Linked DNA regions of Saccharomyces cerevisiae S288C. The protein of the gene in region 1 interacts with the protein of each later gene in a pairwise test. Each region holds a gene or a part of one and is shown on either strand. Other genes may lie near its edges.

The links.
Region 2: the proteins of AUS1 (region 1) and FUR4 interact in a protein complementation assay, tested with the Saccharomyces cerevisiae proteins (one study listed by BioGRID).

Annotation. Positions count from the first base shown.
Region 1 is NC_001147.6:346,451-356,294, reverse strand, and holds AUS1 (ATP-binding cassette sterol transporter AUS1), read right to left. Parts: upstream 6,617-9,844; coding exon 2,432-6,616; downstream 1-2,431. Other genes in the region: YOR011W-A (uncharacterized protein), read right to left, coding at 437-643; TIR2 (putative GPI-anchored mannoprotein), read left to right, coding at 9,345-9,844. UniProt on the Saccharomyces cerevisiae protein: Transporter involved in the uptake of sterol.
Region 2 is NC_001134.8:279,826-285,661, forward strand, and holds FUR4 (uracil permease), read left to right. Parts: upstream 1-1,617; coding exon 1,618-3,519; downstream 3,520-5,836. Other genes in the region: GAL1 (galactokinase), read left to right, coding at 1-782; POA1 (ADP-ribose 1''-phosphate phosphatase), read left to right, coding at 3,913-4,446; chitin synthase CHS3, read right to left, coding at 4,603-5,836. UniProt on the Saccharomyces cerevisiae protein: Transport of uracil.

The DNA of each region.
Region 1 (9,844 bases):
GTGCTAGATTTTTTATTTATTTTCTTTTTCTGATTGATTATCGTTTGGTTAAAATCAGTATGATATTATATATGACTTGCTTTATAATATATCAAACCGACATAAAAAATTATCCTACTCAAAAAAGATCATGGTTGTCCCCGCGTTTCACTTCTGTTATACCATGCAAATTTTTATATCAAATGAGTAATTCTTTCATTTCTTTCGGGACCCTTTACGAAGTAGTTGTTATATCTCCACTGGCAAGGCCACGAACTGACAAAAAAGGCATGATATAAATTGTGAGAAATTGTGAGTTAATTTAATAATTATGCGACGAGATGATAGAAAGGTAAAGACGACTTTTTGAGCCGGATCTGTTTACGTCAGTAAATTCTCGCGCCCCAAGACGTTATGAGGCATAAAATTTATTGCGTTCAGTTTTCTAAAGAGCTCACTATCGGTGATAGAAATCTTTCTTTTTTATTATCTTCTTGTCAGTAGTAATGTATAAGCACCAATATTGAAATGTCCAATTTTTTCGGCTCTTCCCAAGAACTTCAAGAGAGCAGTAGTATGGAAGAAAGTATTGTGAATGATACACAAAACGGTTTAAATACTCCAATATTTCAAAATGAAAGAAATTGAAAACCGATTTTGCCATTAATAATGATTGCTTATTATCCTTTAGTGAAGAAGTTTGTATTGAACTTCAAAGCTGATTGAAAAATCATTATATTTGAACACGTCGTGAGAAGACATGTGTCCAAGTGCATAGTTATTTAAGGCTTCTACGCTGCTTTGTCCTTTTATTACACATTATAATGAGTCTTCAAGATATTTGACTCAGTATGTATAAGAGAATGCTTCCATTGAGATAGTAAGATGATACGTATTGTTACAATACTTGATAATAAGATGCGTTAAAATATTAGTTAAAATGTTAGCTAAAGTTGTACAATTATTCAAGTCGGTGGAACAATAACACTCATTTTATATTTAATTTGTAGGCTGGTTAAATTTAATAACACTTCTTAGGGCTCTATTTTTATGAACAGGACATCATATTATGTAGGCAATAACTTCCGAACTTCGTAATTGATTTAATTGATAATACGACCTATCGTGAATATGCTAAAAGTTCTTTTCGAGGATATAGAGATTCTCGAAGAGAGAGAGATATTCTAAATAACAATATACATATATATATATATATATATATATATATATATTCCTTTCTTGCTTCTTTTTTGTACATTATGTAACTATATTTCTTTCTCATTCCAAATATTCAAATGTACAGGTATTTAATACCGCCTCAATTGATTTAGCGGTATTTTATTTTCTAACAGCTTAGTTATAATACTAAATATACAAAATATATTAGAAGCTCTTTCTCAAGGATATAGGAACCTGCCAAGGAAACCCATATTTCCACATAATGTTACTATTATTATTTCTTCTATTTTTTATGTTGTCATTCATTATCCTATTACATTATTAAATCTTGCATTTCAGCTTCCATTAAATCAGATGACTGTTTTCAATCCTTTTTTATCTTTCTACTCCGTCTACCACAATATAATAGCTTATGAATACTCGCCGGTAGATTATAGTCGATTCTTATTCCAATAGTTTGTTCCTCCAATGACGTTATAACTAATCATAAAGCAATATAGCTAAATTAGGTACCTAATCTTAAAAGATTTTCAGATTTAAACTAATCCTTGTTGCCTATCTTAATTTGAATATTTCTGTATTCTCGCTTAAAAAACATGATGCTGATTATATCTGTTAGTTCAGGTATTCTTTTTACTCCTATATTCTTCTCAGTCATGACGAAGTGTATGTTGTTTTACGGGTACGAGTAATACCGGGGTGTCTTGAAAATCCCAATATAAACAGTCAATGGAAGTAACCAGTTGTCAGAACGGATTATCAGCTTTTCATGGGATGTTACTTATCCTATATATTATATAAAATATGGATCATATTAATTGGTGGAAGCGCCGAACCTCGGATCTAAATTAATTGCTCAGGCGTCTATACGTTTGGGTGGTTAAGCTAAGGGAGGCGAAGTTATATGTCATGTTGCTCATTCTGTTCGTTTTGTTATAAGGTTGTTTCATATGAACGTTTTAGGATGATGTATTGTCATACTGACGTGTACCACTCTGAGAAACAACAAAATAACGGTTTACTGCTTCTATGGCCAAGTTGGTAAGGCGCCACACTAGTAATGTGGAGATCATCGGTTCAAATCCGATTGGAAGCATTTTTTGTCGTGCACTTTTGCTATATAAATATTTTTTGAGCGTCAGCGACAAGTATCTTTTTTTTTGTTGTACAAAGGACTCTTTCAATTGTTTAGTCAGTCATTGGTGACTTGTAAATAATTAGATTAATTAAAATTGCTATTAAGTAGAAAGTAGAAATATATTTAAAAATGGTATTAGTTCTGTACAGGCTTCTTCCCTCTGTGTGGAATTACTTTGGTGATAATTTTAAAGACCTTTGGCCATATTCTTGCCACGTAAGTTAAGTAGTAACCAGCAAACATCGCAAAGAAATTGAAACCAACAAAAGCCCATTCAATACCAAAGTTCCTCCAAACGTGGTCGTAACTCATATTCTCATTTTTCAGGAAGTCATCGCCAACAGTGTACGTACAATAAGCGCAGACTGTGAAAGTGTTCTTATTATGTAGATAGCCACCGTATTCTTCTATGAAAGCTTCCATAAATTGGCCACAAGATTGCCCCGTCAGAGGTTGACCAGGAACCATCTCCGACATGTCACACTTGATTTCCCAGTTATGCAATAGAATACTAACAAAAGTTTCCACAAAATATGTGTATGGCGAAACCCTGTACATGAATTTCCAAAAAGTTGGAAACAAAGAGTATGGTTGCATAACACCACAGAATGATGCTGTAAAACTGTAAATAAACGCAACAAAAACAGCAGCAGTTTGTAGATTAGGAGCAGTATAGATCAGCCATAAACCAAGAGTCGAGTAATAAGCAGCGAAAAGCATATAGTTTAAAAAGAAAACACCGGCACTCCAGCCAGCGTTGTTAAATCCACAAGAGAAAAAGGCACAGACGAAAAATAGTGTGGAACTTGTAAGTGCCAGTGGTAGTTCAATAATTGACTGTGACAAAAGAAGAACAGTCCAGTGATAAGTGTTAGATCTCGCCTCCCTAGCAACATAAACTTCCTTTGTTTTCAAGGCTTTGTCCTGAATTTGATTGATCAATGGAGATGAAACACAAAGAGCCATGAAACAGAAGAAGATACTATCCTGCAAACCGATAATATTATGCTTAATGTGCCAAAATGAGAAACCGATAAACAAACCAGCGCCACCATTCAAACAGTACTTGGCCATGACATAAGTCATGTCTCTTTTCGTACAAATATATTGTCTTCTTGTAATAAGAGCTAATTGCTGTAAGTAGGAAGGCTGCTTCCACAATGAGGTTGTGTAATCAACACCAGACGCACGAGCATCATCTTCTAACCTAGCTGTTTCTTTTTTAACTAGTTTCTTTTCTACAGAAGATTCCCATAATGCACTCCAATCTATGGCTTCTTTGTTCAAAGTAAGAGCTTCCTCCGCTGTATCTTTCCCTGCCGAGGAGTTACTGTTACCTACTGCATCAATGACGAAATCTGCAGGGTTATCATGTTCTTTATCGTAAACGAGCGTGTTGTCATGAGACATGAAATAGCCGCAGGCATCGTCCATTGGTCCAAAGAAGACACATTCACCACCCCTTTTCAATAAGAAAATATTGTCAAAATGGCTGATGACACTTTTACTAGGCTGATGAATGGTACAAAAAATAGCCTGACCCTGTAAAGAAAGTTGTTTTAAAAATTTGACGATTGTTAGTGCAGCCTCAGCGTCCAGCCCAGAGGTTGGTTCGTCTAGGAATAATAAAAGTGAAGGCTTAGTAACAAGTTCAACACCGATAGATAAAAGCTTCCTTTGAGTCGGGTTTAAATCAGCGACTAAAATGTCAGATGGCAATTTCAGTAAATTTGAAACAGTGTCTAAGTATGCCCTGTCACCATCACCTCTCAAAAGACATGATATTTCCAGAGATTCTTTCACAGACAGCAAATCTAGATGCAAATCCTGTTGTTGAACAAAACCAATACTTCTCTTAAACGCGTCCTCATCTGTCAATGGGTGGCCATCGATCAAAATTTCGCCGCTAACAACACCTGTCTCAACTCTTTGTGATAAGACATTCAGCAAAGTAGTTTTACCTGCACCGGACTCACCCATTAAGGCGGTCAAACCAGAACTGATGAAACCGGATGCATTATTAATCAGTTTCTTTGTACCAACTGTGTAGTTGATATTTTTCCAAGAGATGATATGCTTTTGAGTCTCTACTGTTTCCGTGATAGGTTGCTCGTTATAATCGTTTAGAGCCATTTCCTTATTTGAGGGTGATATCTGATATGGAACAGCCGACAGGCTAGACGAGGAAGACGAAACGGAGTGCGACTTTGGGATACCAACATACTTACTGTCATTTCTTGCAGAGGACCTGGTACCTCTCTTTTTATTCAAAAATGGTAGCCATCTTGTCAAACGACTATTGTTGCGCTCTATTTCATCCTTATTGAAATAAGGCTTAATATATTGAGATGCAAACAGAGTACAGGCAATAAAGAATACTAGGAAACCAATGATAATACCAAAGTTTCTCCACACATGATGATACGTGTAGGATAAACCTTGCTTCAAGTAATCACGGCCTCTAACGTAATCATTACCCAGAGTAGCACCTTGCCAAGCACAGGCCTTATGGGAAAATGGAACATCGTTGTAAGTAGGACCTCTTGGAACAATTGTCTCACTACAATCCAGCTTCAAATTGTAAAGCTCATTAGACAGTATTGCCTCCATAGCGTACATTGCAGGATTTAGATAAGCAATCCATACAAACCAAGGATGCATATTTTTCAGGTAGATGACGTAAGAAGCATACATTGCTATAGCTAGTAGCAGAATACCTGCAAATAAATTTGCAACTGAAATGGTTGGAGCAACTAGTGTCGTCAAAGCGAATAAGGACACCATACAGAAATTGTAAAAGGAAAGGAACAGGAGGAAAATGAAAAATCTTGCAGCCTTGTATTGCAGGTGAGCAAGGAAGTATAGGATGATACTGAATACAATTACCAAACAAAGTTTAAAGCAGTAGTCGAACACTGTTGTTGAAAGGGTTTCAACCCAGTTAGTATAGAAGTGAAGTTGGGATTGCTTTTTAACGACGGGTTGTCTTTGGAAGGCAATAGGCATATCTGCAAGAGAAAGAAAAGTGAAGAAAAGAATGGAGAAAAAGGTTAAAGAACCTCTTGAGTATGAACCAATGGTAGTCAACGGAATTTCGTAAAACAGTGAACCAATGACCAAAGATTGAATAACGACAGAAATAAATTGTGCCGTCATATAAGCTTTATCACCCAAACTTCGTTGAAAAGCTCTTTTTGTGCAAAATAATAATTGTTTCTTCAACGGAATATTAAAAATAGGTGAGACATCAGAGGGATCCACTTCCTTAATGGAGTCATCAATTGAAGACCCCTGGATTTGCTGCTTTATATTTCTATAGTACGAAGAATGTTTCCATTGATCATATAAATCGAAATCAGAATTATAAGTATACTTAGTGACTTCCCCTGTTGCGGTTTTGAGAACGCTAGCAGATGATGAATTTGATAAATTCCCCAAATTTTTATTTTTGAACTGAAAATTTAAGATAGAGGTCAGATATTCAATAATACAATCGTTAGGATCTTTCTCAATACCTAAAGTGTCACGAAAATAAGTCAAACACTCATCGACCGTACCATAGAAAAGCTGGTAGGAATCGGATAGCATAAGAATCTTGTCAAACTTATCAACAATTTTATCACTTGCCTGGGAAATTCTGACTAAGTTTACAGAACGAGTAGCTTTTGCCATTTTTCTAAGAATTTCCAAAAAATCGAGAGCTGTGGCGGAATCTAAACCTTTAGTAGAATTATCCCATAGATAAACGGAACCATTAGCAATAAACGTTTCAATAATAGAAATACGTTTACGCTCACCACCAGAAACACCACGGAAAAAATCATTTCCTACAATAGTTTTCAATACATGAGACAGGCCGAATTCTCTTAGAAGTTCATTTCTTATTTGATCGCGCTCACCTTTTGGAATATCGAACTTACAACTCAAGGCAAAATCAATTGTTTGTTCTACCGTTAGAAATGGGAAATGCACATCTTGTTCATTATTGTAAATGATTTGGTGGGGACATTTTTCGGAAAAGCTCTTAAACTCATTATTTTTAAATTTAATCGAGCCTGGAGGAGAGTATGACAAACTAGTTTTACCATGAAACAAAGTCTTAAATAGAGTGGATGTGGGATAACCCAAAACCAAAACCATTTCACCAGCCTCTGCTTGGAAGGTTATGTCATTTAGTTGATTTGCCGGATTCGGCATGCTGTCCTCAGCGTCATAACTCTTTTTTGACTCGCCTTGAGCATCGGCGCCAAATTGAATGTTCGCGCCATTGAAAGTGAGTGACCCGTCAGCAACGGGAGTGAAGTACTTTGAAATTGACATATTAATTCCAGAAAAAGCAGACTGCAAGGACTGAGAGATGAATTACAGCAGTCTTTACTATTCAGCTAATGCCTTCTCAAGTATGTTTTTTTTTTTTTCAATATGGATTTTTATGTCCAATAACTATTCAATAACTGCTTCACAGAAACGGTACTAAGGCTAGGGAAAACTTTACTTTTAGAACTGTTCAGTGCCTTAGAAATAAGGCAAAGGCACCGTCTTTATATTCGAGTTGGAAAATAAGAGTAGAAAGGACACACATTTGTGTTTTGCTCTGTCACATCGTACAGGAGGTAAGCTGCTGTGGCTGTAGTGACACTGAAAGGGACGCTGCTGATGAGCTCGTTTACAGTTCATCTAGCCTGTATATGGAGTGATCTTCAGGCACTCTCTTTGAAACTACCGTAGTTAATCGAAAAAAGGACCTGGAACGACAGCGCGTAAAAAGAAACGAGGAGCAGCAGTGCCTATAAGAGAATTCTCACTTTTCTATTGTTTAGTAAAAAGGTGTGCAATCCCCTTTGCCTACGAAGGCACATGACAATCACGTAAGCAAACGACGCTCTCTATTGTAAACCGTTCGTATGGCTTACTTTGCTCCATAAAGAGGAGGAAAGCTACAAATAAAATAACCTGTATGTACATATTACTCTATATGATTTAAGCTAATGACAAGGGGATATATGCAGTCTAATATTAGAACACGGTTTTTGCCCCTATGTTTCTTTGGATGTACTACTGCACCTGTATGCATCTGGCCTTTCGTTTATTGAGGGCAACTATGAGGGCAGAAGCTTTTGTGAAAGTTATATAAAGAAGAACTATCACAGAGGAAGGGAGGGACAATATCTATAGCGACAACGATTACGCAACGTTTCCTCCATATTGTAGTGATAAGTCAATGAACAGTGAATCCTAATTGATATGAAGTTATTGTTACTACAGTATGAATAAAGTTATGTTGAATAACATTGCTTTCTTTTTGATCGCTTCCTGAAATTGGTGCAATGGGAGCGAATTCCAAGTAACTCGTATAATTTTTTTTTTTCATAGGCCTGCGTGCTCTTCAACGTCAGGCATTAAAAAAAAAGAAACTGAAAACAAGTCAAAACAAAATTCGACCAACAACTACGAATCAAATTAAAACAAAACTTAGTCAACAACTGTAGTGCGTTGGCTGCTAATAATACGTTCTTGTAAGTATAAAAAGCAGACCTTCACCGCTTAATTGCTTTCTAATCATTTCTCACTTCTCCTTAATTAATTAATAAATTTGAAAACTGGTATCCTGTGCCAAAACATTTTCAATCAGTAGGTAAATAACTGTCCTTTGGTGAGGAAAAGTTAACTGCGCGTAACTATTTATCAACTATCCCTATATTTGTAACGTCAAATTACAAAATCGTATTTTAGTAGTCTTGCAAATGGTTTTCTGTTCCCATTATAGCAAAGACACCGGGTGACCATACTTTTTTGTAAACAAGAAACTTTTATTTTTAAAATCAAGTTCTCTGACTGTCAACACTAATGTATGCAGACACGACAAACAATTCATGTTTTGCGTACAAATAGTTCCTACTAAGTTCGGCATACATAATGTAGGCGTAATCTCTAAAAGTAAAGGAGAACTTGAACGATACTAAAATAATGTAATGTTGGAAAAAAATAAGGTATCAAATCTAACCATTTCACAAGGTACTCAAAAAAGATCCTATGTGAGTTAACAAGAAACTTAAAACAATCCATTACCTGCCTAGTATAATTTTTTTAGACCAGAATATGACTCCATAAAACGTGAAGCAGCAGCTAGAAAAACGACGCCTCGGCGGAGTTTGCGTTTAACTCTCATGTGCGGCCAAACAGGTGCGTAAGAGCTGTGACTATTTAATTATGTAATATTTACGGAAAAAGGAGTGGACAAAAAAGGCGTGAATTTTACTCCACTGGCGGTAGCCGCCTATAAAGAAATTGATAAGAGGCGTGCCTCTTATGCGATCTTCGGACCAACAACAAAGCACACAATAGCGCAAAGTATACACAATAGAGAGCCTGTAGGAAAGCAGTGGGGAATGTCTTGGCTTTTTTTATGCCCAGAAAAAAATAAACGTAACGTTGGGGAACTACGCGCAATCATATTTCATGGCCTCCCCACGGTGCTTAGAGCAGCGCGTTGCCTACAGAAACATCTTTATAAAATCTTGGCCGGCCAAGATTCCCAAACGAGACTCACATTTCCCAAAAAAGACATTTCTGTCCAAAAGTAGAAGGCAAGAAAACCCTGGAGGAATCATAGGCAAAGAAAGAAAAGAAGAAGTTCATCTTTAAAACTACCTTTCAAGCCTTTATTCGTTCCTCGTAAAGGACACACGAAAAAAATAAACAGTACCTTGCAGAAGGAGTGCAGAGTTAGGTCGCAGGGAATCCTTGAAAGCCAAGAGTTTTTTTTCCGTAATGATCTCCCAAAGCAACCATCAACATTGTGGTGCAAAGTTTAGTGTAAGATGTTCTACTGAACTATCTTAATAGCTGAGCATCATGTGAGTAAACGAGTAAGCAAGAAAACAACAAAGTAATGTTCAACTTTCGTAACTACGGAAAATAATATATAAGTAGTTAACGAAATTCGAACAATGAGAGCTCTCACATATCATCTTCTTTTCCAGTTTAGCCATTATCAGCACAATAATACAAAACACACTCGTACACTCGCTTCAACTATAACAAAAAAATGGCTTACATCAAGATCGCTTTATTAGCTGCTATCGCTGCTTTGGCTTCTGCCCAAACTCAGGAAGAAATTGACGAATTGAACGTTATTTTGAATGACGTTAAGTCCAACTTGCAAGAATATATTAGTTTGGCTGAAGATTCTTCATCTGGATTTTCCTTAAGCAGTCTGCCATCTGGTGTTTTAGACATCGGTTTAGCTTTGGCTTCCGCCACTGATGACTCCTACACTACTTTGTACTCTGAGGTTGACTTTGCTGCTGTTAGCAAGATGTTGACCATGGTTCCATGGTATTCTTCCAGGCTTCTACCAGAATTGGAATCCTTGTTAGGAACTTCTACCACCGCTGCCTCTTCTACTGAAGCTTCTTCTGCTGCTACTTCTTCCGCTGTTGCTTCCTCCAGTGAAACTACTTCTTCTGCCGTCGCTTCCTCCAGTGAAGCTACTTCTTCTGCCGTCGCTTCTTCCAGTGAAGCTTCTTCTTCTGCTGCTACTTCTTC
Region 2 (5,836 bases), on another chromosome or scaffold:
CCGCCCCAACCAACTATAATTTAAGAGTGGTAGAAGTCACTACAGCTGCAAATGTTTTAGCTGCCACGTACGGTGTTGTTTTACTTTCTGGAAAAGAAGGATCGAGCACGAATAAAGGTAATCTAAGAGATTTCATGAACGTTTATTATGCCAGATATCACAACATTTCCACACCCTGGAACGGCGATATTGAATCCGGCATCGAACGGTTAACAAAGATGCTAGTACTAGTTGAAGAGTCTCTCGCCAATAAGAAACAGGGCTTTAGTGTTGACGATGTCGCACAATCCTTGAATTGTTCTCGCGAAGAATTCACAAGAGACTACTTAACAACATCTCCAGTGAGATTTCAAGTCTTAAAGCTATATCAGAGGGCTAAGCATGTGTATTCTGAATCTTTAAGAGTCTTGAAGGCTGTGAAATTAATGACTACAGCGAGCTTTACTGCCGACGAAGACTTTTTCAAGCAATTTGGTGCCTTGATGAACGAGTCTCAAGCTTCTTGCGATAAACTTTACGAATGTTCTTGTCCAGAGATTGACAAAATTTGTTCCATTGCTTTGTCAAATGGATCATATGGTTCCCGTTTGACCGGAGCTGGCTGGGGTGGTTGTACTGTTCACTTGGTTCCAGGGGGCCCAAATGGCAACATAGAAAAGGTAAAAGAAGCCCTTGCCAATGAGTTCTACAAGGTCAAGTACCCTAAGATCACTGATGCTGAGCTAGAAAATGCTATCATCGTCTCTAAACCAGCATTGGGCAGCTGTCTATATGAATTATAAGTATACTTCTTTTTTTTACTTTGTTCAGAACAACTTCTCATTTTTTTCTACTCATAACTTTAGCATCACAAAATACGCAATAATAACGAGTAGTAACACTTTTATAGTTCATACATGCTTCAACTACTTAATAAATGATTGTATGATAATGTTTTCAATGTAAGAGATTTCGATTATCCACAAACTTTAAAACACAGGGACAAAATTCTTGATATGCTTTCAACCGCTGCGTTTTGGATACCTATTCTTGACATGATATGACTACCATTTTGTTATTGTACGTGGGGCAGTTGACGTCTTATCATATGTCAAAGTCATTTGCGAAGTTCTTGGCAAGTTGCCAACTGACGAGATGCAGTAAAAAGAGATTGCCGTCTTGAAACTTTTTGTCCTTTTTTTTTTCCGGGGACTCTACGAGAACCCTTTGTCCTACTGATTAATTTTGTACTGAATTTGGACAATTCAGATTTTAGTAGACAAGCGCGAGGAGGAAAAGAAATGACAGAAAAATTCCGATGGACAAGAAGATAGGAAAAAAAAAAAGCTTTCACCGATTTCCTAGACCGGAAAAAAGTCGTATGACATCAGAATGAAAAATTTTCAAGTTAGACAAGGACAAAATCAGGACAAATTGTAAAGATATAATAAACTATTTGATTCAGCGCCAATTTGCCCTTTTCCATTTTCCATTAAATCTCTGTTCTCTCTTACTTATATGATGATTAGGTATCATCTGTATAAAACTCCTTTCTTAATTTCACTCTAAAGCATACCCCATAGAGAAGATCTTTCGGTTCGAAGACATTCCTACGCATAATAAGAATAGGAGGGAATAATGCCAGACAATCTATCATTACATTTAAGCGGCTCTTCAAAAAGATTGAACTCTCGCCAACTTATGGAATCTTCCAATGAGACCTTTGCGCCAAATAATGTGGATTTGGAAAAAGAGTATAAGTCATCTCAGAGTAATATAACTACCGAAGTTTATGAGGCATCGAGCTTTGAAGAAAAAGTAAGCTCAGAAAAACCTCAATACAGCTCATTCTGGAAGAAAATCTATTATGAATATGTGGTCGTTGACAAATCAATCTTGGGTGTTTCTATTCTGGATTCATTTATGTACAACCAGGACTTGAAGCCCGTCGAAAAAGAAAGGCGGGTTTGGTCCTGGTACAATTATTGTTACTTCTGGCTTGCTGAATGTTTCAATATCAACACTTGGCAAATTGCAGCTACAGGTCTACAACTGGGTCTAAATTGGTGGCAGTGTTGGATAACAATTTGGATTGGGTACGGTTTCGTTGGTGCTTTTGTTGTTTTGGCCTCTAGAGTTGGATCTGCTTATCATTTGTCATTCCCTATATCATCTAGAGCATCATTCGGTATTTTCTTCTCTTTATGGCCCGTTATTAACAGAGTCGTCATGGCCATCGTTTGGTATAGTGTCCAAGCTTATATTGCGGCAACTCCCGTATCATTAATGCTGAAATCTATCTTTGGAAAAGATTTACAAGACAAAATCCCAGATCACTTTGGATCACCGAATGCTACTACTTACGAGTTCATGTGTTTTTTTATCTTTTGGGCTGCCAGTCTTCCATTTTTACTGGTTCCACCTCACAAAATTAGACACCTGTTTACTGTTAAAGCCGTCTTGGTTCCGTTTGCTTCTTTTGGTTTCTTAATTTGGGCTATCAGAAGAGCTCACGGGCGTATTGCCTTAGGATCTTTAACCGATGTACAACCTCATGGCTCTGCCTTTTCGTGGGCTTTTCTAAGATCACTAATGGGTTGTATGGCTAATTTCTCCACAATGGTAATCAACGCTCCAGATTTCTCTAGATTTTCAAAAAACCCTAACTCCGCTTTATGGTCCCAATTAGTGTGCATTCCATTTTTGTTTTCCATCACTTGTTTAATTGGAATTCTAGTCACCGCAGCTGGTTATGAAATATACGGTATTAATTACTGGTCGCCACTCGATGTGCTAGAAAAATTTTTACAGACTACTTATAATAAGGGCACAAGAGCTGGTGTTTTCTTAATCTCTTTTGTTTTCGCCGTAGCTCAGTTAGGTACTAATATTTCTGCAAACTCATTATCGTGTGGAACTGATATGTCCGCTATTTTCCCCAAGTTTATCAATATCAAGCGTGGTTCATTATTTTGTGCAGCCATGGCGCTGTGTATTTGTCCATGGAATTTAATGGCAACATCAAGTAAATTTACAATGGCTTTGTCCGCATATGCTATCTTTTTGTCCAGTATTGCCGGTGTTGTCTGCTCAGATTACTTTGTTGTTAGAAGAGGATATATCAAGCTAACACACATATATTCCCATCAAAAGGGCTCTTTTTATATGTACGGAAACAGGTTTGGTATCAATTGGAGAGCTTTGGCTGCATATCTATGTGGGGTGGCTCCTTGCTTGCCCGGTTTCATCGCGGAGGTGGGCGCTCCCGCTATAAAGGTTTCTGATGGAGCTATGAAACTATATTACCTAAGTTACTGGGTAGGATATGGCTTGAGTTTTTCTTCTTATACTGCTCTGTGTTACTTCTTCCCTGTACCTGGGTGCCCTGTTAACAACATTATAAAGGACAAGGGCTGGTTCCAAAGATGGGCCAATGTCGATGATTTTGAAGAAGAGTGGAAAGACACAATTGAGAGGGATGACCTGGTAGATGACAATATTAGTGTCTACGAACACGAACACGAAAAGACTTTCATTTAAGCTCTCCATATCTACATCACTTTCTGCATTAATCTGAAATATTTTTCAAATTTTCATGTGTAATGATATTAATCCTTATCTATACTACTTACTTCTATTTACGTTCTCTTTAGCATTTACTTTGTGCATTTGGCCTTCAATGAGCATTAATTTCACTGGTTTTAATATATTCACTCACTTTCATTCGATTTTTTGTTTGCTTTATGGCTTAGCGTTCTTTCCTCTCTCCTTTCTCTTTTTACACACGAGAAAAAATGGATAATTGTTGTATTATGCCATATGCATAACTTTACGATTCGTTATGCTATGCGAACTTGAAGCCCAGATTTCTACACGAAAAGTTTGAGTTTATTAGTATCTTCTCCAAGATAAATATAGCATCAAGTTACAGGTATGTCGAACATCACTTATGTCAAAGGTAACATCTTAAAACCAAAGTCATATGCTAGGATCCTCATCCATTCTTGCAACTGCAATGGCTCGTGGGGTGGTGGGATCGCTTATCAACTTGCTTTGCGCTACCCAAAAGCAGAGAAAGATTACGTTGAAGTATGCGAAAAGTATGGTTCTAATTTACTAGGCAAATGCATATTACTTCCCAGTTACGAAAACTCAGATCTGCTGATTTGTTGCTTGTTTACATCATCATTTGGAGGTTCAAGTCATGGAGAAAAGCAAAGTATTTTGAATTATACAAAACTTGCTTTAGATAAATTGAAGACCTTTAGAGAAGCAAAAGACAAAACTCGAACAAGTGAAGATTCAATCGGTGACTATTTAAACGGCCACATCAAATACCCAATAGGGGAATATAAATTGGAAATGCCACAGATAAATAGTGGCATATTCGGAGTCCCTTGGAAAGAGACAGAACGCGTGTTAGAAGAATTTAGTGGCGACATGAGTTTTACAGTATATCAGCTGTAATTGCCTTAGCCACGTAATATGTGCCTTTAAAGATAGAGAAATATTTATTTATTAAGTTTTAGTTCTAAGGTGTGTTAAAATACCTCTCAAATAAATAAGTTACACACAACCATATATCAACTTGTAAGTATCACAGTAAAAATATTTTCATACTGTCTATGCAACGAAGGAGTCACTTTCCTCCTTCCGATTGAGAATATCTTCCCTTTCAAATTCCCTCCATGTCCTCATTTTAATCTTTGAGTGATCAAATTCACCTTCATTCTCGTCTTGTGCCTTTTTATTACCTCCCGCAATAGTTCTCGTATCACCCCATGAGAAGTCATCAAATTTCCAGTACGCATATGAAGGTAGTACGAAATTCCAAATAGGCAAAGCACAAATATATACGCACATCCACCATAGGTACGACCATCTCGTAGCAGTTATAACAACAATTAAGCCGGGCAGACCAAGAATAATTGCCAGTAAAACTAAAGTGATTACGGGTGTAGGTTTTGATACAATGGCAAAAATAATGACATAAATAGTAAAGCAAATGGCTAACGGCAGTACCATAGTACCAATCAATTCAATACCAATCACAAATTGCATGGAAAAACAGAAAGTGCCACATAAGTCTCTGATTAGAACTAATTCAAAAAGGTTATGTACCGTAGAATTAATCCATCTTCGACGCTGGGAAAGTAAGACTTTGAATTTATCAGGGGCAATAGTTTTACAAGCAGCTTTTGGAACAAATACTTGCTTTCTCTTAGGGAAAGTCTTTAACATTAATGAAGATAAAAATCTATCTTCACCAAGTAATAATAAGTTCTTCTTATGCAAAGTGTTTGTAACATTATCCGAATATCTTTCAACAATATCTGGATTTGCCAATACAGGTACCCAATAACCATCTGAACCTTTAGGAGATTTTATACGATACATTGAGAAACATCCCGGCAAACAAGTTACCGAACCGAAGACAGATTCAAAAGCTTTAGCCTGATGATGCGAAATATAGTACTCAAACACTTGAATTGCAGTTACCCAAGATTGTGCCTTATTAGCGATCTTGGTCTCACCACAAAGACCCATAATCAAAGGATCTTTAACCATTTCAGCGACCATATGAGTTAAAGCATCGGGAAAGACTTTAGTATCAGCATCAACCATAAGTACCGTTTCGTAGAAGTCTGCCATTAGCCCCGTAATCTGCCAAATATTTTTTAAAAGCTGAAATTCCAATTGAGTCATTCTTTCATCAAATGTTATTTTTTCTAAAAAGGACATCAGAATAATTTGAGAATCACGCTTACCTCTGTTACCGGGTTTGGCGGCCCCCTGCTCTGCAGGAGTACCGCACTTCACAATTGTAATGATTGGGACACGTTGTTGATTTTCTGGT